Ovis aries: one gene and its partner. The protein of the gene in region 1 purifies or fractionates together with the protein of each later gene. This does not show direct contact. Links are inferred from orthologs where the notes say so. Each region holds a gene or a part of one and is shown in the gene's direction. Other genes may lie near its edges. The genes, in order: RANBP6 and ARMCX3.

Evidence for each region.
Region 2: the proteins of RANBP6 (region 1) and ARMCX3 purify together in Homo sapiens (co-immunoprecipitation; 3 studies listed by BioGRID and IntAct, counting the BioPlex papers as one, with this or other methods). This does not show direct contact. The link is inferred for Ovis aries from reciprocal best matches to the Homo sapiens genes RANBP6 and ARMCX3.

The regions. Positions count from the first base shown.
Region 1 is NC_056055.1:74,171,828-74,184,734, reverse strand, and holds RANBP6 (ran-binding protein 6), read left to right. Parts: upstream 1-5,588; 5' UTR 5,589-5,604; coding exon 5,605-8,922; 3' UTR 8,923-10,163; downstream 10,164-12,907. UniProt on the Homo sapiens protein: May function in nuclear protein import as nuclear transport receptor.
Region 2 is NC_056080.1:133,255,683-133,268,365, forward strand, and holds ARMCX3 (armadillo repeat-containing X-linked protein 3), read left to right. Parts: upstream 1-4,410; 5' UTR 4,411-4,692; intron 4,693-4,968; 5' UTR 4,969-5,146; intron 5,147-5,427; 5' UTR 5,428-5,488; intron 5,489-5,763; 5' UTR 5,764-5,834; intron 5,835-6,093; 5' UTR 6,094-6,244; coding exon 6,245-7,384; 3' UTR 7,385-12,349; downstream 12,350-12,683. UniProt on the Homo sapiens protein: Regulates mitochondrial aggregation and transport in axons in living neurons. May link mitochondria to the TRAK2-kinesin motor complex via its interaction with Miro and TRAK2.

The DNA.
Region 1 (12,907 bases):
CTCTTTTCTGTCTCTTTTCTGGTGGAAACTCTGAGGGACCACGCTAAGAAAGGAGAAATTTTGCTTCCAGAGCCCAGCCTCAGCATCAGAGAACAAATTAGAGAAAATTTGAATGCGAAACCAAAAGATAACACATAAATGAAACTTCTGGTTTATCCCACTTTTAATAATACTAAGATCAGGAACTTCAGATGGTTTCAGCCTAATCCTTCTATTATCAAATCCCAATCAATGTTTCATTAATGGTTTTAGCATCCACTGGTTATTGCTGCCTACATTCATTATTTCATTTGGGTTACAACACAGTAATTTTCTGATTTTAGCATTTTTGTGCACTTTTTATATGGAATTCTATAGAGAAGAATGTGAATAACTGTTAGGTTTTCCTGAAATACAGTTTATACAGAAAAGGCAGGAAAAATTGTGATTATTATTAATTTTCAGTTGCTGACCTAGCATCCAAAGATGACCAATGAGTTGTGACTTTTGTTAGTATTAGACACTTGGAACTTTTGCTGATTATATTTAAAGTCTTTTTAATTCATCAGAAGCATTATTCTTTCTGATATTCTGATTGTTTTAATTTAGGTTGGTAGGAGCCTTCATAGTATTTTTTGTTTTCTATATTTTTATTTATTATGGATTATTCTTGCAAAACTGTCAAGAATGTCCAATTTAATTCTACTTCCTCCCACTTGATTCTAAATCTCTCAGATCTTGGAAGAAATTTGCAACTTACTTTTCACCTTTCTTTGCTTAGCAAGGTGCTAATAAATACTTGAATCGTCCACTTCTGAGCCACCTTACACCTTACGGAAATATTTTTAAATGCCCTCTCAACAGTGCAAACAAATTTAAAATCCAATTTTAATTACAAAGTTTAATAAAGTTCTTTAACCAAATATTCAAGTCCATTCTTGAAATCTTGAATATTTGTGTGCTCCTTAGGGGGTGAGGGGGTAGGAAATAACACTGCAAAAGGTAAATAGAATTGAATTATGCAATCTAGAGAGGAAGTACTTTAAGATTTTAAATCTGTGTATGTTCTTCTAAACTAAGAACATAAATATTTTTCCTAAAATGGATTCCATTTAGCTCTTACCTTTGTAACAATGACCATCACTATGGAGTGTGGGAGCAACTAGAGAACAAAATATGGATTTGGGGACTCATCTTCTTAAGGAAGACCTACTCCAGTATTCTTGGGCTTCCCTTGTTGCTTAACTGGTAAATAATCTGCCTGCAATGTGGGAGACCTGGGCTTGATCCCTGGGTTGGGAAGATCCCCTGGAGAATGGAAAGGCTACCCTATCCAGTATTTTGGCCTGGAAAATTCCATAGACTATAGTTCATGGGGTCGCAAAGAGACGGACATGACTCTCACTTTTGCTTTCACTAGATACTGGAGAGTTTTGATAAGACTGGGAGTAACTCCATCTTTGTTCATAAAATGTCACTGAGTACCACCTGGTACATAGCCAGGACTTCCCTAGTGGCTCAGACAGTAAAGAATTTGCATGAAATCTAAAGACCTGGGTCTGACACCTGGGTTGGGAAGGTCCCCTGGAGAAGGGAATGACAACCCACTCCTGTATTCTTGCTTGGGAAATTCCATGGACAGAGGAGCTGTTGGGCTACAGTCCATGGGGTCACAAAGAGTTGGACATAACTGAGGGATTAACACTTTCATTTGTTAGGGAATTCTTCCAGAAAGAGTTAGCAGTCTTTTGGTCTGCATTAATACTGTTCTTTCCTCATGTGTGGGTAAAGAAACAGGTAAATTACAGCATCTCCAACCAGATGCCCAGGTCAAAACTTAGGAAGATTTCCTAGGCTGCTTCTTCCCATGTAAGGTGTTATTGATATGACTTCTTTCAACCTATCTAGTCCTTGCCCTCTTTTCTTTCCTTCCACCACTGCAATGATTTAGACTTTCAGTTTAACTGAACTAAGGTGTGTGTGTGCTCGGTCCTGTCCAACTCTTTGTGACCCTGTAGACTGTAGACTGCCAGGAACCTCTGTCCATGAAAATTTCCAGGCATGAATACTGGAGCAGGTTGCCGTTTTCTACTCCAGGGGATCTTACCGACCCAGGGATCAAACTCATGTTCCCTACGTCTCCTGCATTGGCAGGTGGATTCTTTACCATTCTGCTGCCTGGAAAACCCTAAATGCCTCCAATCTTCACACTTCAGTTTTTGCATTGCTATCAAAGTAATATTTCTAAATGTGGATCATTTCACAGCACTTGATTAAAATCCTTAAACTGCTCCTCTTTACCTTTGGGGGAAAAAAGCCAAATTTCTTAACATGGAATATGAGACCCTTCATGATCTGGCTTCTATAGAACTTCTGTCTTCCTCCTTCCTGCCTCTTATGTCATCCCAAGCCCCCTCAAGTCACATACCCAATGCTCCAGCAAGAAATACTGGCAGAACTCATCACACTAGGCTCTAAGACCTTTCCACATTTGAACACAGCTGTTCCCTTTACTTAGAAACTTCTTCTCTTTATTCAAATAGTGAATAAAGATTTATCCTTTAAAAGCCAGCCCTGGTATCACCACCTTTGGGAAGCCTTGCCTGATTTCCCTTAGCTGCCTCCACAAACTCACGTGGTTGCATCACCACAGTGATCACTACACTAAATGGTATTTGCTGTCTCTCATGGCATCCTCATGTATTTAATGTTTATCCCCAGCACACAGCACCATACTTGAGTATACCCTCAATGAACGTGTGCTGAGAAAATAAATGAATAACTGCGTAATGTTAACCCAGCATTTTCCAAACATTTTTTACAGAGTGGTTCTACCAACTCACTTAAACTACCACCAAAAGTATCATTGAGTTTCCTATTATTCCATATTTTCACTGTCACTTGATATTCTTAGACTTAAATTTAAAACATTGTATTGGGCCTGTGGTGGTATCTCATTCTAGTTTTTGTGTCTTTAATATGCTAACAGATATGGTTTTAAGACAAGCTTTTTCCCCCCAACATGTAATAGTTATTAAGATTTTCTGAAAGAGTGAATGCAAAGGCCCTATAATTAGACTTTTCCAAAGAATGGTGGGAAAGCCATTGACTCTGGAGCAAGATGCAGAACTGTAGTCAAGATCTTGGAATCAGAACCAACACTGATTTCAGCAGTGGTTCTCAAATTTTTGTATTCACATGAAAACCCAGTGTCCTTGTTAAAATTGAACATTCTTAGGTTGTATCACCCAGAAATTCTGATTCAGTAGTTCAGAGATTGAGCCCTAATATCTACATTTTAAAATAAGTTTCTCAAGTGATTCTGATGCAGTTGACTTTCAGTCCACAGAATAAAAAGCACTGTTTAGAGAATAAGGTTTTTTCCTAAACGAGCATTTGTTGTTGTTGTTTTTGTTGTTGTTTAGTCACTAAGTCGTGTCTGACTCTTTGTGACTCTGCTGCCTGTAGCCCACCAGGCTCCTTTGTCCATTGGATTTCCCAGGCAAGAATACTGGAGTGAGTTGCCATTTCCTTTTCAAAGGAATCTTCCTGACCCAGGGATCAAACCTGCATCTCCTGCATTGGCAGGCAGATTCTTTATTGATGAACTACCAGGAACAAAATTAAAGTTCAGCCAACTCAGAGAAGTTTAAAATATACCATGCAATAAGCGAAAACGTCTGATTGTATTGCAAAATCAAGAGTAATTATGGGGAAGTGGTATGGTGAAGAGCATCAGTGTTGCTTTCAGAAGAGGTAGATTGGAGACTCAGGGTGCGTCATCTTAGGCAAATCCCTTAACCTTCCTGAGTTTCCATTTCTCACCTAAAATTAGTATTATATCTATTCTACCAATCTTGCAAACCTGTGTAATGGTTAAAATGATAGATTGGCAAGGCCCATACAAAAGTAAGATCTAATCATTGTTAAAGTAATGATGATTTTTTTAATATATAATTTTATTTATGTATTTTACTAATTATTTTTGGCTGTGCTGGGTCTTCCTTGCTGTGCAGGCTTTTCTCTCATTGCAGCAAGCAGGGTCTACTCTTTGTTGCAGTGGGCAGGCTTCTCATTGAACTGGCTTATCTTGTTGCAGAGCACTAGGCTCTAGACACACAGGCTTCAGTAGTTGGATTTGTGGGCTCAGTAGTTGCAGTTCCTATTTACCAGGCTCTAGAAGACAATGGCACTCCACTCCAGTACTCTTGCTTGGAAAATCCCATGGATGGAGGAGCCTGGTAGGCTGCAGTCCATGAGGTCGCTAAGAGTCAGACACGACTGAGCAACTTCACTTTCAGTTTTCACTTTCATGCATTGGAGAAGGAAATGGAAACCCACTCCAGTGTTCTTGCCTGGAGAATCCCAGGGACGGCGGAGCCTGGTGGGCTGCCGTCTATGGGGTCACACAGAGTCGGACATGATTGAAGCGACCTAGCAGCAGCAGCAGAGTACAGCTCAATAGTTGTAGCACAAGGGCTTAGTTGCTCCACAGCATGTGGCATCTTCTAGGACCAGAGATCAAAATTGTGCCCCCTGCATTGGCAGGTGGATTATTTACCGCTGAGCCCGTGTAATTAATGAGCCTGGTAATTGCAGGGAAGCAACCCTTTCTGAATTAAAGAAACAATATTTAGCCTCAGGGGCATTTATTTCTTAGAATAACCTCAGCTGCTCTCTAGGAAAAGGAAAACTGTAAAAACATTTTAAGTTTGCAAAAAAAAAAAAAAAACTTCAGTGACAAGACCAGGGATTCAAATCAATTTTGAGACAAGACCAGAATTCTAATCTTACTAACCCACGTTACTTTTCATCATACATTACTCAAATACCTTTCTCATTCTTTATTATAATCCACAGAGCAAGTGATTCCAACACACACCTGAATCTGAGCACCTCTGCTCTACTGCATTAGATATAATAGTGGGTGCTAATCATTGTCTTTATCTTTTATTGTACTTATTTGATAAAAAGCTTTATTGAGGTATTATCCACATGCAATACAATTCACCAAACTAAATTGTACAATTCAATGGTTTGAGTATAATCACAGAGTCGTGCAGCTATCTCCACTATCAATTTCACATTTTCATCACCCAGAAAGAACTTTCCTGACAGCAGTTATTCTCTATTCTCTCTTCCCCTCAGCCATTGCCAAACACTAATCTACTTTCTGTATGGATTTTCCACTTTAGACCTTTCATATAAAAGGAATCATAAAACATGTAGCCTTTCGTGATTGTCTTCTTTCACTTAGATTTTCAAGGCGTACGCTCTGTTTTAAAATTATCAGTGTAACAACCGTAGATATAGTTTAGAAATAGAAGACGAAAAAACCCATAATCCCATTCTAATAGTCATTATCATACTTTTATTTTTTCCTCTCTATAGGTGCATTTTCATTTTATTGGAAATCAGATGGAGAGCGACCCTCGCTCCCACCACGACCCCATGAGTCCCGCGCCACCGGCCTCCCGGCCTCCCAAAGCCCGGACCAAGACGAGCCACGGCAGGGGAGGAAGTGGCCCCGCCCCGCCCCTCCGCGCCGGCGCCTCGCTGATGTCACTGCTCCGGGACGCAGACCCCCGCCCTCCTTCCCCGTCGCGGTTGCTTTGACAGAACGCGATGGCGGCGTCCGGGTCTGCCGGAGTACCGGCGACCGTGTCGGGAAAGCAAGAGTTTTACCAGCTTCTGAAGAACCTGATCAATCCAAGCTGTATGGTGCGGCGGCAGGCAGAGGAAATCTATGAAAATATCCCAGGTCTGTGTAAGACTACATTCCTCTTAGATGCCGTCAGAAATAGAAGAGCAGGTTATGAGGTGAGACAAATGGCTGCCGCCCTGCTACGACGGCTTTTGTCCTCTGGGTTTGAGGAAGTCTATCCAAATTTGCCTTCTGATGTTCAGAGGGACGTCAAGATTGAACTGATACTGGCTGTTAAGTTAGAAACACATGCTAGTATGAGGAAAAAACTTTGTGACATTTTTGCAGTCCTGGCCAGGAATTTGATAGATGAGGATGGCACTAACCACTGGCCTGAAGGTCTGAAGTTCCTTGTTGATTCAATCTACTCTAAAAATGTGGTTCTATGGGAAGTTGCACTTCACGTTTTCTGGCACTTTCCAGGGATTTTTGGGAACCAGGAGCGGCACGATTTGGATATCATCAAAAGGTTGTTGGACCAGTGTATTCAAGATCAAGAACATCCAGCAATCAGGACATTATCTGCTAGAGCTGCAGCTGCATTTGTACTTGCTAATGAGAATAATATTGGTCTTTTCAAAGACTTTGCAGACTTGCTTCCTGGAATCTTACAGGCTGTGAATGATTCATGCTACCAGGATGATGATTCAGTGCTAGAATCCCTTGTCGAGATTGCAGATACTGTACCTAAATATTTGGGTCCTTATTTAGAAGATACTCTGCAACTGAGTCTAAAGTTATGTGGAGACTCTAGACTTAGTAATCTGCAACGCCAGCTGGCACTTGAAGTAATAGTGACCTTGTCTGAAACTGCCACCCCAATGTTGAAAAAACATACAAATATTATTGCACAGGCAGTTCCTCATATATTAGCAATGATGGTTGATCTACAAGATGACGAGGACTGGGTAAATGCTGATGAAATGGAAGAAGATGATTTTGACAGCAATGCAGTTGCTGCTGAGAGTGCATTAGACAGACTGGCTTGTGGGCTCGGTGGAAAACTTGTTTTACCAATGACTAAGGAGCATATCATGCAGATGCTGCAGAGCCCTGACTGGAAATACCGACATGCTGGATTAATGGCCTTATCTGCTATTGGAGAAGGATGCCATCAGCAAATGGAATCAATTTTAGATGAAACAGTTAACTCTGTTTTGCTTTTTCTTCAGGATCCTCATCCAAGGGTGAGGGCTGCAGCCTGTACTACACTTGGACAGATGGCTACAGATTTTGCACCTAACTTCCAAAAGAAATTCCATGAAACTGTGATTGCAGCTCTGTTGCGTACTATGGAAAATCAAGGTAATCAGCGTGTACAGTCACATGCAGCTTCTGCGCTTATTATTTTTATTGAAGACTGTCCCAAATCATTGCTGGTTCTATATTTGGATAGTATGGTAAGAAATCTACATTCCATCTTGGTGATTAAACTTCAAGAGTTGATTCGCAATGGAACTAAGTTGGCCTTAGAACAGCTTGTGACAACCATTGCCTCAGTTGCAGATACAATAGAAGAAAAATTTGTACCATACTATGATATATTTATGCCCTCACTAAAGCATACTGTTGAGCTTGCTGTTCAAAAGGAACTCAAACTTCTGAAAGGAAAGACTATTGAATGCATTAGCCATGTTGGTCTTGCTGTTGGTAAGGAAAAATTTATGCAAGATGCATCAAATGTGATGCAGTTATTGTTGAAGACACAATCAGAGTTAAATAATATGGAAGATGATGACCCTCAGACCTCTTACATGGTTTCAGCATGGGCTAGAATGTGTAAAATTCTTGGAAGTGATTTTCAACAGTACCTTCCACTGGTTATTGAGCCTCTTATTAAGACTGCTTCAGCTAAACCTGACGTTGCTCTCTTAGACACACAAGATGTGGAGAATATGAGTGATGATGATGGATGGCAATTTGTAAATCTTGGAGACCAGCAAAGTTTTGGAATTAAAACTTCAGGACTTGAAGCAAAAGCAACTGCTTGCCAGATGTTGGTTTATTATGCTAAGGAGTTAAGAGAAGGATTTATGGACTATACAGAACAAGTTGTAAAACTGATGGTTCCTTTACTGAAATTTTATTTCCATGACAATGTTCGAGTGGCAGCTGCAGAGTCCTTGCCTTTTCTCCTGGAATGTGCAAGAATTCGGGGGCCAGAGTATCTTGCACAGATGTGGCAGTTCATATGTGATCCCTTAATCAAGGCTATTGGGACTGAACCTGATACAGATGTACTCTCAGAAATAATGAATTCTTTTGCAAAATCCATTGAAGTAATGGGAGATGGGTGCCTTAATGATGAACACTTGGAAGAACTGGGAGAAATACTGAAAGCAAAACTTGAAGGGCACTTTAAAAACCAAGAACTAAGACAGGTCAAAAGACAGGAAGAAAACTATGATCAACAGGTTGAAATGTCTCTGCAAGATGAGGATGAATGTGATGTTTATATTCTGACCAAAGTATCAGATATTTTGCACTCCTTATTTAGTACTTACAAGGAAAAGATTTTACCGTGGTTTGAACAGCTACTTCCATTAATTGTAAATCTAATTTGTTCTAATAGGCCATGGCCAGACAGACAGTGGGGATTGTGCATATTTGATGATATCATAGAGCACTGCAGTCCAACTTCATTTAAATATGTTGAATATTTTCGGTGGCCAATGCTACTAAATATGCGTGACAACAACCCTGAAGTCAGGCAAGCTGCTGCTTATGGCCTGGGTGTTATGGCACAGTATGGTGGAGATGATTATCGTTCTTTATGTTCAGAAGCTGTTCCGCTGCTGGTAAAAGTTATTAAGTGTGCAAATTCCAAAACCAAAAAAAATGTCATTGCTACAGAGAACTGTATCTCAGCAGTAGGGAAGATTTTGAGGTTTAAGCCTAACTGTGTAAATGTAGATGAAGTTCTTCCACACTGGTTGTCATGGCTTCCGCTGCATGAGGATAAAGAGGAAGCTATTCAGACTTTGAGTTTTCTCTGTGACTTAATTGAAAGTAACCACCCAGTTGTACTTGGTCCAAATAATTCCAATCTTCCAAAAATAATTAGTATAATTGCAGAAGGAAAAATTAACGAGACTATTAACTATGAAGATCCTTGTGCCAAACGCCTAGCTAATGTTGTACGTCAGGTACAGACTTCTGAAGAATTATGGTTGGAATGCATTTCCCATCTTGATGATGAGCAGCAGGAAGCCTTACAGGAACTGCTAAATTTTGCTTGAAGCACTTTAATATTACTTGAATATCATCCCCCATAAAAGCAACTCCAACTAAGTGTTGTGAGTGGATTCTATTATGATTGAGAGAGCTGTTCTCTTCCTGCTGAGCAGTTTATATTCCTTCCCAGTGTTTCTCCATGATTAGTCAGTGTTATAGCCTCTGTTTACCTTGCATGTTTTATCAAATACAGACCTTGGTGATAACCTGTGCTTCTGTTGTCTTAAAATGTTTGTCACCTTTCCTCTATTTGATGTGAAGTATGTACATTGTTGCTATTTGTCTAAATTCCTGATGCTGGGCAAGCAGTGTGCTTGGTGTCAGGGTGTCCTGCTGCCTAACACAAGATGTTAAGAGTGCACAAAGATGGGATAGAAGAACTTCCAGGACAAACTCTTTGGAATTGAGTGAAGAATATAGTGGCAGGCTTATTCCTCCTTTATGATACTCCTAGATTTCATAGTAATGGGAGGATGCTGGTATTGGAAAAGTTTTGAGATACTGCAGTGGATGTGGGGAGTTTTCTCCATAATACATAAGAACTTTTTAATAATGTCCTCCTGAGGCTGAGACATATCCATATGCTGCTTCCCAAGGTGTCCAGCTGATAGTTACTTAGCCAGATCAGTCTGTCTATTTTAACTTAACCAGGACTCTTAAGGACCACAGTTACTGTAAAGGGTATCCTGGTACATCTAACATTGGTAGCATATAACATACTGTAATACAGTATTTGACAAAGAGTAAATGATTATTTGTGGGAGTCAATCACTGTTACGTGTTTGAGCAGAATATTGCATTGTGTATGTAAGCCATTTTTCCCTGCAAAGCAGTTCAACAAGAGAAGCCCTGATTCAAAATGGGGCTTAAATAGATTTCTATTTTGAAGAAACTCAGTTGTTTAGTAGCATTAAAGAGAATTCAATTGTGATCATGAAAGGGAAGCAAAATTAATCTTTAAACATGAAAAAGAAAACAGCTTTGAGATGACCAGTCATTTAGCAGTGTGAATTCTAAGAAAGCAGTTCTATAAATTTGGGGTAACATATTAATTACAATGTTGGTCTTTAATCTCAGGCTTTTTGTAGGGTAGAAAAAAAAGCTTTCTACTCAGCAAATTATTGATCCAAAATTTAAGAACAAATACATCTGTAATGGATTTCCTTGGGCTGTTATGAGTACTGTGTATGTATTTAGTGAGTATTTAAGACCTAGTAAGTGCTTAATAAATGGTAGCTGTTACTGCTGTTGGTGTTTGTACCTCTTCTGTGTTCTTTTTTATGGTCTGGAATTCCTTTTATATTAAAATCTCCCTGTTTCCCCTCCTACCAGTTCATGACCAGGCCATCTAGGCCACTGTGGACAGAGATACGAAATTGAGATTTTAAATATGCAATTCCTATACATTCCCTGTAGTTATTTATTGTTAATGAGGGGAAAGAAAGAAAAGGACATTGGTTGGGGTATAGTCATTATTTTAATAAGATTAAATTTAAAAGTATAGATGAATAAATAGAAAAACCCCACCACAAAGTATTAATAGAGGTTTTCTATGGATGGTGGGATTGAAAGGCAGTTTTTCTTCTCATTGATCTATATTTTTTAAAAGTTCAAGGACCTGATTCTACTTTCGTAATAGTTAAGATCGAAGTTAATTGGCCTCTCAGTGACATGTAGCTAACTTTCCTGCTACTCATCCAGGTGTCTATTAATATTCTTTATTTAAGAAGCTTTTGGTAAACATTTCTACCAATTCCATATATTCTTGTGCATGAAAAATTGGAAAACCTACCATATGACTTGGAATTAGGCACCTGGAGAATTTTGAAGACAAACCTAGATTTGAATTTTGGCAAGCTGCTTTTTTAATCTAAACAGTTTTCCATCAGTGAAATAAACATAAGGCCTAGCTAATTGTGAGAATTAAAGAAGGTAATGAATATAAAGTGATCAGTGGCACAGGGTTCAATAAATGTAAGCTAATATTATCTGGGAGTCATGAAATATGGTTGGTGGCTAAAGAGAAGGAGGTGATATCTGATAGGATGGCTCCAGATTCTTAAGCTTTCTCAAAGGAAAGATGTCCAGTCAGACACATTTTTGGTTGCCAGTCCCTGAAGTAAGACTGGTCTGCCTTTGTTCCTGATTTAAAGTACATCTGTAGACCTGAGTTCGATTCCTTGGTTGGGAAGAAGGGAAAGGCTACCCACTCCAATATTGTGGCCTGGAGAATTCCATGGACTGTATAGTCCATAGGGTCCCAAAGAGTCCACACAGCTAAGCGACTTTCACTCATGGGCTAAGGAGAGAGAATGCTGTAAATGCCTAATAAATTACAAATGTCTGATGAGGTAAGAGGAGATCTAGATAAACTAGATGATGGGTGTGTGTTTGTGTGTGGGGGGTTGTCAATACCCTAAAACCTTAAAAGTGTCCCCATTTAACTCTTACCTAAGACTATCTAACATACTAGACACCCCCCAACCCGCAAAAAAAAAAGAAAAAGCTTTTTAGTTTCGAATTTTATCAGTGCTTTAAAGGTCCACATTGATGGGAAGTAAAACAGACTTAAAAGTCAATATATCGCAATCACTTTGTTACACATCTTTTAAAATTTTACTTTCTAAAATTTTGAAAGTAATTTGACGTTTCAAGCAAGAGCAGAAAAAGGAATATGTGCATCTTCGAAAAAGAACCTGAGAAAATACTATTATCTGCATTAAGGGACCGTTAGTTACTTTCTACTCATTTTTAATTTGAAATATTTGAAGACTAAGTCCCAAGGACTTTAAATGAGGTTCCATTCCCTTCCATGACTCTTCAGTTCAATTCAGTTTCAGTTCAGTCTAGTCGCTCAGTCGTGTCCGATTCTTTGCGACCCCATGAATCGCAGCACGTCAGGCCTCCCTGTCCATCACCAACTCCCGGAGTTCACTCAGACTCACATCCATCGAGTCAGTGATGCCATCCAGCCATTTCATCCTTAGTCGTCCCCTTCTCCTCCTGCCCCCAATCTCTCCCAGCATCAGGGTCTTTTCCAATGAGTCAACTCTTCACATGAGGTGGCCAAAGTACTGGAGCTTCAGCTTTAGCATCATTCCTTCCAAAGAAACCCCAGGGCTGATCTCCTTCAGAATGGACTGCTTGGATCTCCTTGCAGTCCAAGGGACCCTCAAGAGTCCTCCAACACCACAGTTCAAAAGCATCAATTCTTCGGCGCTCACCCTTCTTCACAGTCCAACTCTCACATCCATACATGACCACAGGAAAAACCACAGCCTTGACTAGACGGACCTTAGTCGGCAAAGTAATGTCTCTGCTTTTGAATATACAATCTAGGTTGGTCATAACTTTTCTTCCAAGGAGTAAGCGTCTTTTAATTTCATGGCTGCTGTCACCATCTGCAGTGATTTTGGAGCTAAAGTCTGCCACTGTTTCCACTGTTTCCCCATCTATTTCCCATGAAGTGATGGGACCAGATGCCAGATGTCAAAAATTGAGAAGGTGGGGATGTCTTTTCACTTTAACGGAAAACATGGGATTAACTTCCAAAATAGGAACTGATGTTAAGACGGGGACGGGAGTTTTAGAATTCGAGTTCTACACATCATCTCTTTTTCTTTTGCATGTGAACATTTGTTCCAAATGATCGAGTCCTTGAACCTTTCTAAACTTTACAAAATTTCAATTCTACATTGAAAAACTAGCAGTCACGGGGGTGGAGGATGGGAGTGTGCAAAGGGAAACTTTTTACAATAGGGATAGGATTTACATTCTATGTCTACTTACAATTCACTTTCCATCAACGAAAGTTGTCTAGCAAGCGCCTGCAGGATTAATTTTAGCTTGTATCGCTAACAGGGATCTCGCGGAACAAATACCCTTTTAGCACAGCCCACTTCTAAAACCCTTTCAGCCTCCCACTCAGGAGGTGGCGAGCAAAGCCCAGCGGCCGCCTTGCTTCTCTCTTCACTCCGCCCCTTCCAGTTG
Region 2 (12,683 bases), on another chromosome or scaffold:
TTCAAATAGCATATGAAACTATAAAAACATACCCTTACAAACAAAGCCAGTGTGCTTTTAATATGATTTATAAATTAATGGATAAAATGAATCTATAGTAAATTGGTCAGTGTTTTAATTGTGACCAGTTTAAAGAAGTGAACCACTATCCCTTTCTTCTTGGCTGAACTCATAGCGTTATGTGTTAGAGAACTGCTAGATGGCTTCCTTTCTGGTTTTGAAGGACAGACTCTCCGCAGACCCCAAATTCCAATGAATCTTATGTCTTCAGATGAAGCTTACAAATTAGTAACTTCAAAGATTAGCTTGCTCTTCATTCAAAGCTCTATTTAAAATCTATTCTCAAGTTTCATGGTGTAACCCATAAATCATCCAGAAATCAGAGGATTCCCTGCTATCCCATTGATGAAAATGATAGTGGAATTTTCGTTTGATCACGACACTGGTGAAAGACCTCCGGTATTTGTCATTTGTGCCCTGTCTGTCCCCTTGGTAGTGCCTGGTGTTCAGCCTTTTCCAGTGGAAATAATGGTGAGGGTCTGTGGGTGACTGTAAATCACTGCCACAACCTGACAGCCCTTGAGATCCGCTGCCTTTTCCCCTCACAAACGGCATAGGTCACGGGACCCCAAGCAGTGTTGCCAGGAAAAAGAGGCCTTTTCACCCTCTCCCTTCTGTTACAATTTCATTGTACCATCTATACAAGTCCCTCAGAATAATCCCAGAAGGTAGGGACAAAGTCTGCAGAACTTAGTTCCCAGACATCCAGCTGTCCCCGCCGGGGTGTCATGCTCTAAATATAAACCCTTCAGGCAGCCTCTTTCTTAGAACATTGAAATCTGACACCCCAGCAGGAAGCTCCCTGGGTGAGGGGCCCCTGTGTGGAGGAGGCCCTTTCAGGAGGTGAACCAGGAAGCCCAGAGTGCCTTGCTGGTGAAAAATTCACAAGTCAAGAACATGTCACAACTTTCTGGTCTTCCTTAAACATTTATAGTTCAAACATACCGACATTACAACTCATCTCTCTCTAAACCCCTAACTCATTTGTTTTGCCATCCTCTCCTTACCCTGTTCTTCTTATCATCCTTTATTTTACTTCTCCAAAGGAAGTGATTTATATTTACGAAGCCTTACTAACAGAACTTGCAGATTTCACTATCATTCTTTTGGCTGCTAAGAACTTAAAAAGTAGCTTTTATTTATCTTGAGTATATACATTAGAAAGAACTGCAGAGCATGTAAAACTTAAGAAATACAGGTGTCATTGACTTGCCTCTACAATAAGGACTCATTCCACAACTCTTACTTAGCCATGCTTCAGGGACAAAAGATCCGCTCCTACCTCTCCTCGTTAGTTACAAATCTCTCTCCCTTTTGGTATATTTTTCAATTTTTCCAGTGTATAACCCCTGACTACCACTCTCCCAGGCTGTCAGATCTTTCCTGTTTGGATCCACTCCCTCTCTTAAACTTCCTAAACCCCATGGGAATGATAACCCTGTCAATTCTCGTGGTCATTTTGATCCACAATTCCTACCAAGGAAGCTGGGGACTGACATATAAAATCTATTTTCCTTCCGTTATACACCCACCAACAAATATTTATTTAAGGGCATGCTATTTGCCTGACATACCATTTGAAAAGCAAAACGGGAAAATCCTTAAGCAATCCCTCAGACAAGTCTTCAAAAGACTATGTGAGTCCACTGTCAAAAAGAACCTCTTGGCTTAAATCAGCATATGGTCATATATGATGCATGATTTATAACATATTCAAAAACAGAAAAGGATCAGCAGACGGTAACACTGATAGAATTTTGGAGGGTAAGAAAAATAAATGATAGAAGATTGTTATCTTTAAAAGGTGTATTACTTTTTGTATCGTGTTGTTTCTGTGTTGTGTATTAGTTTTGTTTGATTGCAAGCAACAGAAAGCACATCTGTTTAACTTAAACAGTGAGGGCATTTCGAAGACCAGCATCAGCTCTGAGGTGTCAAGGTAGGAGGAACCGATAGATGGTCTCTTCAGGACGCCATAAACTTCCACTGATGTTTGGTTTTTCTATCTTTGCTCAGGTTTAAACTTCAGTAAGAGAGTAAGTATTCAGTTGGTTTGTTTTGGGCACAATGACCACCCTTTTGCTGTGGAAAATGACAGGGCATGTAAAATGTGAAATGCACTTCCTTTCTTTTCCCAGAGAGAACTGTAAACTGTTTCAGAGGTTATTGTTGATTTGCAGGAGCACTTTAACTACTTGGGATATGCATCTTTTGTCCAGTTGTGACTGAGGCGCTGGGGGTCTATCTGCCACAGCATGCTTTAGTTGTCACTGAGCATTAGAGAGGTGCACTTCTGAAATGGTGGTGCACTTCTGAAATGGTGGTGCACAAGGCTGCCTTCTAGGCCAAAGCCCCCTGACTTCCTTGACAGGATTCCACACGGTCGCATCGATAGTACAAAGTCTTGTGCTCAGCCCTTCAGGATCAACACCTGAATTTGTCTGTATAGTGAGAGCAGATGCCTGTATCAAATAAAGACTCTCATTCAGAGAGACATATATAAATCTATATCTGAATGCCCAAACCCACGGATCACTGCATTTCCTCTGTAAGACGGCCACAGGGAAGCTAAGTTTCACAACGAAATGACAACTGAAAAATTTATCCTGAGAAGTACAACCATCAGGGGTACTAGAGGTTTCTGTTAGTTTTACCAGCCCCTTCTCTCCCCGTTGGCAAGCTACTACTTGGGAAGCCACAACTTCAGAAGGTTGCGTGGTAAGCCTGCAATCAGAGAGCAAGGGCATCGGTGCACTTTAAGAAGTGGCTTTCATCTAAGAAACTTGAAGTACACTTACATATCATGGGGATGGCTCTGCCAAAGAAAGCTAATTTTTCCACGCATCTCAGCCAAGACTTCCTCTCCTCCAGACAGTGCTTGGGTGGGAACTATCAACACTTGCCTCTGACTCTTCTCTTCATAGACTCCTGTTTGAATAAGCCCCCTCGCTGCACATGATCTTTCTCTAAACACAGAATCATACAGTTGATTTGCTTTCTGCTTACTAACTTTCAGTCATATCCTGTTCATCTTCACCTTACACAGTCTTGTATATCAATTGTATCTCAATAAAAATGGAAGAAAAAATACATTTTAGTCATATCCTAGTACTATTTTTCAGAAGTTACATTGATATGAATTTCTCTGGAATTTTGCCTGTTCCCAAATTTCCCAGTCTCTTGATTTACTCCCATATTGTCTGTGGATCTTAAACTTTTTAGACTCAGATAACAACCTTATATCTTAACTATCAGGGCATATCACACTGTAGACCCTGTGTCATGACATTATTTCCTTATTTTTCCCACTCTTAAAAGTTCGCTCGTTGGTGACAGGTGACTTGTTGAATTCATCAATACAGTCAGTGAAAAGGTTTCACACTAATTGCTAGATGCTGAGTTCAGCCAGTTTTGACTTGGTCTAACACCTCTAACAACCTACTCCGTTTAAAAATGCTGTTGTCCATTTGTATTTTTTGTAATGTTCTTTGTATGTCGCTCACTTTGTCAGTGTGCATGCCTCCTATCTGACAGGCATCCGACATACTTGTGATTACCACTCAACCTTTTCTGTGTAGCTGGCTTCTGAGGGCTCCTGTGCCTTGCTAACTGATGAAAGTGAAAGTCTTGTTTAGAAGACTGGCTTAGTTAGAAGATTTATGTATTCTCAGACACTCTGATGAGCTTATTCAGGATTGTGTTATGTGCTAGGCCCCAGAAGACACTAAGATTGCTTTGAGTGAAGTGTGTAACACTCCCTACAAGTGAGAACATGTGGGACTTTTGGAGGCCATCACCCAACATCACTCTCCCACTCTTTTTTTTTTTTTTTTACCAAATGAAAATAGCTTTACAGCCATTTTTTTCCTCCTAAAAAGAATGCAGTCTGGGGGTGGGAAAGGGCAGAACTGAAAGAACAACAACAAAAAATAAAACAGTAAGTAAGGGAAAAACTGCATTCACTCCAGGTCTCCTTTTCTGGTGGCTTTTTCTTTTCAGATCTGGGACTAGATTTCAGAGGAAATGGTAGACATTTATAGCTGGGAGGCAGGGAGGTGGAAGGAGAGGTTACTGTCCCAGGAGTCCAGGGAAGGAAGAGGCAATTTTTCAAAAAGTACAAGTGGCCAGTAACCCCAGGGGAAGATGCTGTCCCTTTCTGGTAATCAGAGGAAGGCAAAGACAACTACAGGGAGATGGGATTAGGAAAGAAAAAAAAGAGTAACAAGGCCTGCCGTGGGGGAGGGAAGGGAGGGGGGCGGGCCCTCTTCTGCCGCACTGCTGGTGGGAGGGGAAATTGGGGACCAGAGTTGGTGGATGACGTAGGTCTCACGTGACCAAGAGCTGACGTGTGCAGAAGTCCTTCTTGTTCTGGTCGTTGTTCCCGTCTGAGTATCAGCTCCCCATTGCCCCGAGGGCCAGCGGGCCTGCAGCAGAGGAAAGAAGGAGGAGGAGAAGGAGATTGTCCCGGATCCGTGCAGGTCAGTGCCTGGGAGAGTCCAGAAGGTGGGGGTGGCTGAGGGTGCAGGGCGGAAACCGTCGCGGATCCTGGGGCGCCTCCGTCGTCTCTTCCACTCGCCGCCGGCTTTCCAAGACGTCTGTCCCGCCCGCAGCCCATTCTGATGCTGCGAAATGGTGAGCAGGGGGGTGTTTGGGAGGAGCTCAGAGATCGGGACGTGGGAATCTGGTGGGAACCGAGGCCGTAATCTGGAAAGGGAGCTGTACGCTGGGTGTTGGCCCCCAGTCCTCCAGGACGGTGCCAGAGGGGAAAGGCTGGACATGGGGAGGGGAGGTGCACCGTGATGTGTCAGCAGAACCCCGAGAAGGGTCGAAGGGGTGGAAACCTTTGACAGCCAGGCCTCCGAATTAAGGACAGAGTTTTCTGTTCTGGGGACCGGTCCGTCCACCAAGCACTAGGTCGCGGCAGTTTCCCGTCTTTCTTACTGTGACTGCGTCTTCCTGACCGTGGCTCTGTGTCTCGTGGATCCGAGCCTCTCCCGGGTTGCCAGTCTTTCCATAGGTTGCGGCACCACACCAGGCTAAAGAAGAGGAAGGAAATTAACCCCGATCCGTGAAGGTCGATTTGAGGGTAAGACCATCTAGAGACCCTAACGGGGGCGTTGGGAGGATGGGGTGGGGAGAAACCAGAGGTAGCGATAATCTAGGTTAGGTCTGAGTCTGAGTGTGTTTCTCACACTCTTGGGACTGTGGCGAAATGGCGTGCAGTGTGTGTGTGTGCGTGCGCGCGCGTGTGTCGTGGGGGGTGGGGTGGGGGAGAATGACAGAAGGGAAACCTATCAGATAGTTTGTTCGTAATCCTCTTCTCTCAACAGCACTTAGTCCCCATGTTTTCGATCTGTCATCCTGCAGGTCTGCTGTAGCAGGTGGCACCAGTTTAAACGAGGGAGGAAGTTTCCTCGGATCAGTAGAGGTCGGTTTGGGCATGGGGGCTGCCTGGAATGGGGGAGGGGTTGGAAATTGCCCACGGTTGGACAGGCTCACCCCATGTTATTTCCCCAACAACTCTCCATTTCAGGCTAGAGAAGCGGCAGGCATGTGCATGTTTTGGATGGCAGAGAGAGGTTGTCTTTTCTGTATTTTTTTTCTTAATCTGACAACCTAGATAGGTGAATCAGGAAAGCAACAAATGGAGGAGCAGTCAATCCATCAAGGCTTCAGTTCTCACTGGCTCTGGTCTCTCTGCAGATTGCAAGGGTTGTTGGGCGTGGCACATCTCCAGGGGAGGGAAGAAGGGGCAAACTGCCTGTCTGGAGGAGGTTAGTGCAATGGTGCCACTCCCTGGGAACATCCAAGGTTGGGGTAGCTGAGGCCCCAGCAGAGAGAATGCGCTCCACTGCCTTTATCTAGGCTTGGGGAGGAGGTGGGCTGGGGAGAGTGAAATGAGGGGGAAAGAGTTTGTTAATAATCTACATTTTCTACCAAGAACTCATTTGCTTGTCTCTCTGTACAACTCTCTGCAGAGGACAACTCAAGGAGAAGAGAAACTCAAACCCCGTTTTCTTTCTCCACCCCTAGGTCCACCTCCAGAATCAGTTGCCGTGGCCTTGAAGTGGCTGAAGACAATCATCCTCCACAGGCCTGCACCCAGGCCAGGCCCATAGCCCTCCTCCCCCAGCCTGAGTGACCACTCTGTTCCTTGGTCCCTGATACCATCAGGGACGATTGCATGGGCTACGCCAGGAAAGTAGGCTGGGTGACTGCGGGACTGGTGATTGGGGCTGGCGCCTGCTATTGCATTTATAGACTGACCAGAGGAAGAAAACAGAACAAGGAGAAAATGGCTGAGGGAGGGTCTGGGGATGTGGATGATGTTGGGGATTGTCCTGGGGCCAGGTACAATGACTGGTCTGATGATGATGATGACAACAGTGAGAACAAAGGTATAGTATGGTACCCACCTTGGGCCCGGATTGGGACTGAGGCTGGAACCAGAGCGAGGGCCAGGGCAAGGGCCAGGGCCACCCGGGCTCGTCGAGCTGTCCAGAAAAGGGCTTCCCCCAATTCTGATGATACTATTTTGTCCCCTCAAGAGCTGCAGAAAGTTCTTTGCTTGGTTGAGATGTCTGAAAAGCCTTATATTCTTGAAGCAGCTTTAATTGCTCTGGGTAACAATGCTGCTTATGCATTTAACAGAGATATTATTCGTGATCTGGGTGGTCTCCCAATTGTTGCAAAGATTCTCAATACTCGGGATCCCATAGTGAAGGAAAAGGCTTTAATTGTCCTAAATAACTTGAGTGTGAATGCTGAAAATCAGCGCAGGCTTAAGATATACATGAATCAAGTCTGTGATGACACAATCACTTCTCGATTGAACTCATCTGTGCAGCTGGCAGGTCTAAGATTGCTTACGAACATGACTGTTACTAATGAGTATCAGCACATGCTTGCTAATTCCATTTCAGACTTTTTCCGTTTATTTTCAGCAGGAAATGAAGAAACCAAATTTCAGGTCTTGAAACTCCTTTTGAATTTGGCTGAAAATCCAGCCATGACTAGAGAACTGCTCAGGGCCCAAGTACCATCCTCGCTGGGTTCCCTCTTTAACAAGAAGGAGAACAAAGAGGTGATTCTGAAGCTTCTGGTCATATTCGAGAACATAAACGACAATTTTAAATGGGAGGAAAATGAATCTACTCAGAATCAATTCAGCGAAGGTTCACTTTTTTCCTTTTTGAAAGAATTTCAGGTGTGTGCTGATAAGATTCTGGGGCTAGAAAGTCATCATGATATTTTGGTAAAAGTGAAAGTTGGAAAATTCGTGGCCAAACTGGCTGAGAATATGTTCCCAAAGAGCCAGGAATAAGTTCTTGATTTTGTAGTTTAGAAGCAACACATGTTGTAAACTATTCCTTTTCTCCACCTTGTCTATATGGTAAAGGAATCCTTTCAGCTGCCAGTTTTGAGTAATGAATATCATATTGTATCATCAATGCTGATATTTATCTGAGTTGGTCTGCAGGCCTAAGCTGGATGAATGAATATCACTACCTGTTCTGAAAATGTTTGTTGCTTTTTATCTCACTGCCTAGATTGAAATATTTTTACTATTTCTTCTGCATAAGTGACAGTGAACCAATTCCTCACAAATAAGCTCCCTCCTGTCATTTGCATTGACTGCATTTGTGTATCATCAATGAAGTTGTGTGTTAATGCTGGAAAGAAAAAAAAGAGAAACCATACTTATCTTTCGGTTTATAGTCTAGTTGGAGAGATAAGAAAACATACAAACAAAAAGAAAACAATATCTCAAGCATATACTCTTTGTTAAATACTCGCACTCAGAGCGCAGAGAAAGCAAAGGTTTCTGCAGGATACAGTAGTCAGCTACAGATTTATGGAGGAAGTGTTCATTTCAAATGAATCCTCAGTGGGGTAGGTAGTTAGGGAGTTCCATGTGATGGGAGTGAAGGGGGACTGGTGTGAGAAAGGCATGGAGGTAGGAACTCTTGCTGTGACAGTGAGGAGACTAGTCTGTTTAGAGTGGAAAGTGTGACTGGAAGTAAATAAATTTGGAAAGTTGGCTGAAGCCAGTTTGTGGAGAACTGTTGGAATATTACCTCACCGAACACTGAGAGCCAGTGAATAATTTTGACTAGAAAGAATAATTGGAATTCATATAGAAGTCCCTGTCTCACCTACTGTGCAGTGTCCATGAGAGTATGGCAGAAATGGAGCCTTTCACACCCTGGTGGTAGGAATTCGCTTACACTGGCACAAGGTTTGCAGAGGGCCATTTGGTAATACATATCATTAGCCTTAAAATATGTAATCCCTTTGTCCTAAGGAAATAGTTGAATCATTGGCCAAAGATTGTATGTACAAGGCTGTTTATCCCAGCACTGTGTGAAATAGTAAAAATTGAAAGCAAGTTAAACAATGTAGCACACTGGACTGGTTACATAAGTTAAGGAATATTCACATGGTGTAAGATAAATATGTCAATTGCAGTCCATATTGTCAGGGAATGATATTCATCATGCACTGTTAAGTGAGAAAGGTAGGTTAGATAGGAGTCTTCTTAGTATGATTCAGTTTTTCTGAGAATATAAGATATTTAAGTAGACACTAAAAACTCTGGAATTACAGACATCCAAATAGTAACAGTGATTGTCTTTGGGTGGAAGGATAGTATAATTTTTACCTTTTTACTTTTTATTCATCTATATGTTCTTATTAACCTAAAACAAATACTGATTTTTCAGAAGTTTTTGAAAAAGGAAAGTGTTGGGAATGGAGCAGGTGATTGATTGGAGCACGAACTGAGTAGAAAAAGTATTTACATTAAACATAAGATGGGTTGAAGTTTTCTCTCTGAAATAATAGATGAGTGCTAAAGATGGGGCTCGCTGAAAGAATTAAATGAAGTAATATATGTGAAATACTTAGAATTTTCTGGCACATAGCAATTAATTAAGAAAATTGAGCACACTTAGTTCCTTAGAATTCAGTGTCGATAGTTGTTCTGGTTGACCTTTGTGTTGCTGGGGGCATTCTGCCATGTGTCAGCATCATTTAATAAATAATAACAACAATAAAAGTTAGCATTTATTAAGTGACTACTGTGTAGAGTGATGTCATTCCTGCAAGGCAACTGTTAACAATAGTTTCTCAAAGAAATAGGCTTTTCTTTTTACTGTGTACTCGAGATGTTTTAGCAGACATGATCTCACCTGCCCTTACAATGTATTGTTGGTCAGTTTGGGGGTGTTATCCTACTTTATACATGAGGCCAGGAAAGGGTAAAATCTCTGTTCAGTTATGATCTGGTTTTAGCCCCAGGCTTCCATATACTTACTCAAATGTTGCCTACAATAGACAAAAGGACCAAGGACTGATCAGCTTGAAGTTGTTGGGTATGATGACTCTATTGAATCATGCTGGGGCTCCTTTGACATCAGTTTTAAGGGTGGAATGAGGGTAAAGGAATTAAAATTTTTTCTTGCTCTATTATTAGGTAGAAAACAGGATTTGGGAGGGAAAGCCTTATCCATTTAAAATAAACTAACTTTGAGATACCTGTGTGACATCTAGATGGATATACCCTAATGTCATTTGAGTCTATTGATGTGGTGCTCAGAAAAGACCAGGCTGCAGATATAGATTTGGGGGCCACCAGAGAAGAAATGATAACTAAGGACATGGGAGCGGATGTGATCCCCAGAGAGAAGGTGCAGAATGTAAGAGTAGAAAGCAGCATAAAGAACTGGAGAAGGGATTGTGGCAGCTGGGGAAAGAAGCATCAAATTCCAACTGTGGATACCCTTCCAGACACTATCTCAGTATACCTATATAGTCTACATCAAATTGGATGATACTGTAGATGAACTTTCAGAACCTGATTTAAATTTTGTCTACTTTTCTTCTAAAATGTACTCATTGGAGATACTTGAGAAAATAGAGGCAATAAGAACAAACTTGTTCCCTCACCCAGATCTGTATCGTGAACATCTAAAAGAATTCTGATCAAGCCACATTGAACTGGGGTGCTGAGTGACTTTTTGACCTGGGGTGGCAATGAAGTGAACTTGGGCAATAAAAAGCCACCCTGCAGCAGGGGTGCAGGCCTGACCAGTGTCCATCTGCTGCGCAGGTCTCTTTTCTCATCCTCTCCTCCCTTCCCATTCTCCTTCCCTTTCCCTCTTTCACACTTCTCTCTGATTTCCTCCTCTGAGAGACCATTGACAATAGTCTCTTTGTGCTTCTGTGTCTTTTGGGGGTGATCGTTTCATTTCCATGACACCAGGTCATGCACCAATAGGCATTTGATGCAGAATGATAATTGTCGTTGCTGTGGTAACAAGATGACCCTGGGTACGTATGGCTGGATGCCAAGACTTTTCGGACGGTTGTTTACAGAGACTGAGAAAGCACCGGTCTTAGTGTGGAACAGCCCTATGTGCATTGCATGAATCTTGATGTCCCATGCCTGGTATTATTTGGAACTGAATCACCCGGACTTTGGGAAGTGCTGTGTGAGACAGATGTATGACTGCCTGGTCCAGGGAAGACACAGGGCCGGCCCAGCCACACTCTGATGTCCTGATGCTTTCACATCCGAGGTTGCCACTCAAACATTTTGGGAAGGGCACCCTACTAGTATAGTAGCCGTGATTGTGGCAGGTCATGGGGGCAAGGGGGAGCCAATGACCTTTCTTTAGAAAGCATGGCAGTTTCTTGGAAACTGAGGAAATTAGAAACTCAAGGATATTCTGCTATTTTGTTTTTATCTACTGATTTTAGGAATTTAAGTGGGTCTATTCCCGGCAAATGTGTTCAAAGGTGATTTTACAAAGATGGAGTATAGTTCTGTTATAAATTGTCACCCAAAGCATAATATTTAAGGCTCAGGAAACTGGTTTTCTATTTTTAAATTCATATTTTACTTGCCTTATTTCAAAAGAGATTCTAAGTGTAGATTTAGCAAATTGATATGGTTCAGGGAAATTTTGTGTTTATGCCTCTGTTTGGTTAATTTCTCTGCTCTATTCCCTTGAGAGTGGTTTTTTGAAGAATGATTATGACTATTTTCAATGCTAACATTTTACATTCCTTCTTCATCATATCCCAGACTGAAGATTTTTTCCCTTTATTTCTCTGTTCAAACTGTGGCTCTTCTTGCCTTTAAACCAGAACTATCACGCTGCCATCTCCGGGTACAGAAGACTAGGATATTGACCCCTGAGGTGAGGTATCAAGCAGGATAACACATCTTTGCTTTCAGATATATATATCTCCATGCCTTTCCCTCTCCACTGTGTCCTTCTCAGGCCTTGTTAAGGGCTTGGACATTGTTGGGTTTGGGGATAAGCCTGAGGGGAGGGAGGGAATGGGAAAGAAGCCTTATTGGAGGGGTAGCTTCATTCTAACAGGTTCATGTCAAAGGAATTTGATCCAGCACTGACAGTGGGCTAAGTGTAACTCTTTGACCCTTGTTGACCATTTACATTTTAAAAAGTGAAAGAATAAGTGTATTACAAGCATCTTTGGGTATTAGAACATTTCCAAGTTTGCACACGGACATAACATGTTATTAAATTGGGTGGATTTTCTTTTTTGAAAATAAAAAAAAGAATGAGAGTCTGTTACTCTAAGAAATGTAATTACCAAGTAGAACAGATTTTTAGTGTTGGCTGCTCAGAACATTCTGTCCCTAACATTCTGTACATCAGGAACCACATTATCATCAGAAGGTTGTTTATTTAGTGCTTAGGGAATTGGGGCGAGCTGACTTACTTCGATGTTGGTGCTGTCAACGTAGAAGAACCTGATGCACCCATGTCGATTATGGGGGTTGACTTGTGTGTGAAATCAAATACTTGTATTCAAGAGCTAGAGCATGTTTCTCTCTGTACACAATTAGAAATTTTGTCTGCCCAGATGACCCTTAGCCAGGGGTGGATTATCAGTTGATGGTAGTTTTATGACTGTTAAGATATATTATCAATTAGTTTGCATACAGGATTTGAGAAATGTATATTTTACAACAGGAGAAAACTGTAGTATTTGTAATGGATTCCCTCATACATATTAATATCTCGCTGTTCTGAACCTTTCTTATGAGTAATGATAACGTGTTGTTGATTTTTTGGAAACCAAGGTAAAATAAATTGTTACCTCTTTAGTTTTTTTCCCATTTCTACTTCAGTTTTCTGTTTGCTAAAATGTGGTTTAACTATAATCTTGCTAAATTTTGTGGCTTTCTTTCAATAAGCTGTAATGAAAATTCTGACATAATGAAATGGATCAATAAAAGAAAACTTCTGATTTTTACAGTCTTCCATCATTTAAAATGAATTAAGTGGATTATCTTGTTGATATTAGAAAAGATGGAATCTAGGCAAGACCAAATAAAACAGACAACTATTTTCTAAATCTTAAATCCATTTAAACTGACTTGGAGAATAATTCTTTGTAATCACTTAGTATTTAAGATCATCAATCTTCACCTCTTGTTATGCTGATCTGTGTAATCTATAGCCAAAAATTGAAAGTATTAAATCGCACCATGTTGCTTATAAAAATTACTTAAATTCTGATTGATTTTCTTCTGATATAAAAGTTAAACCTTTATGTTATGAATGTCATAATTCGTGAATGTCTAT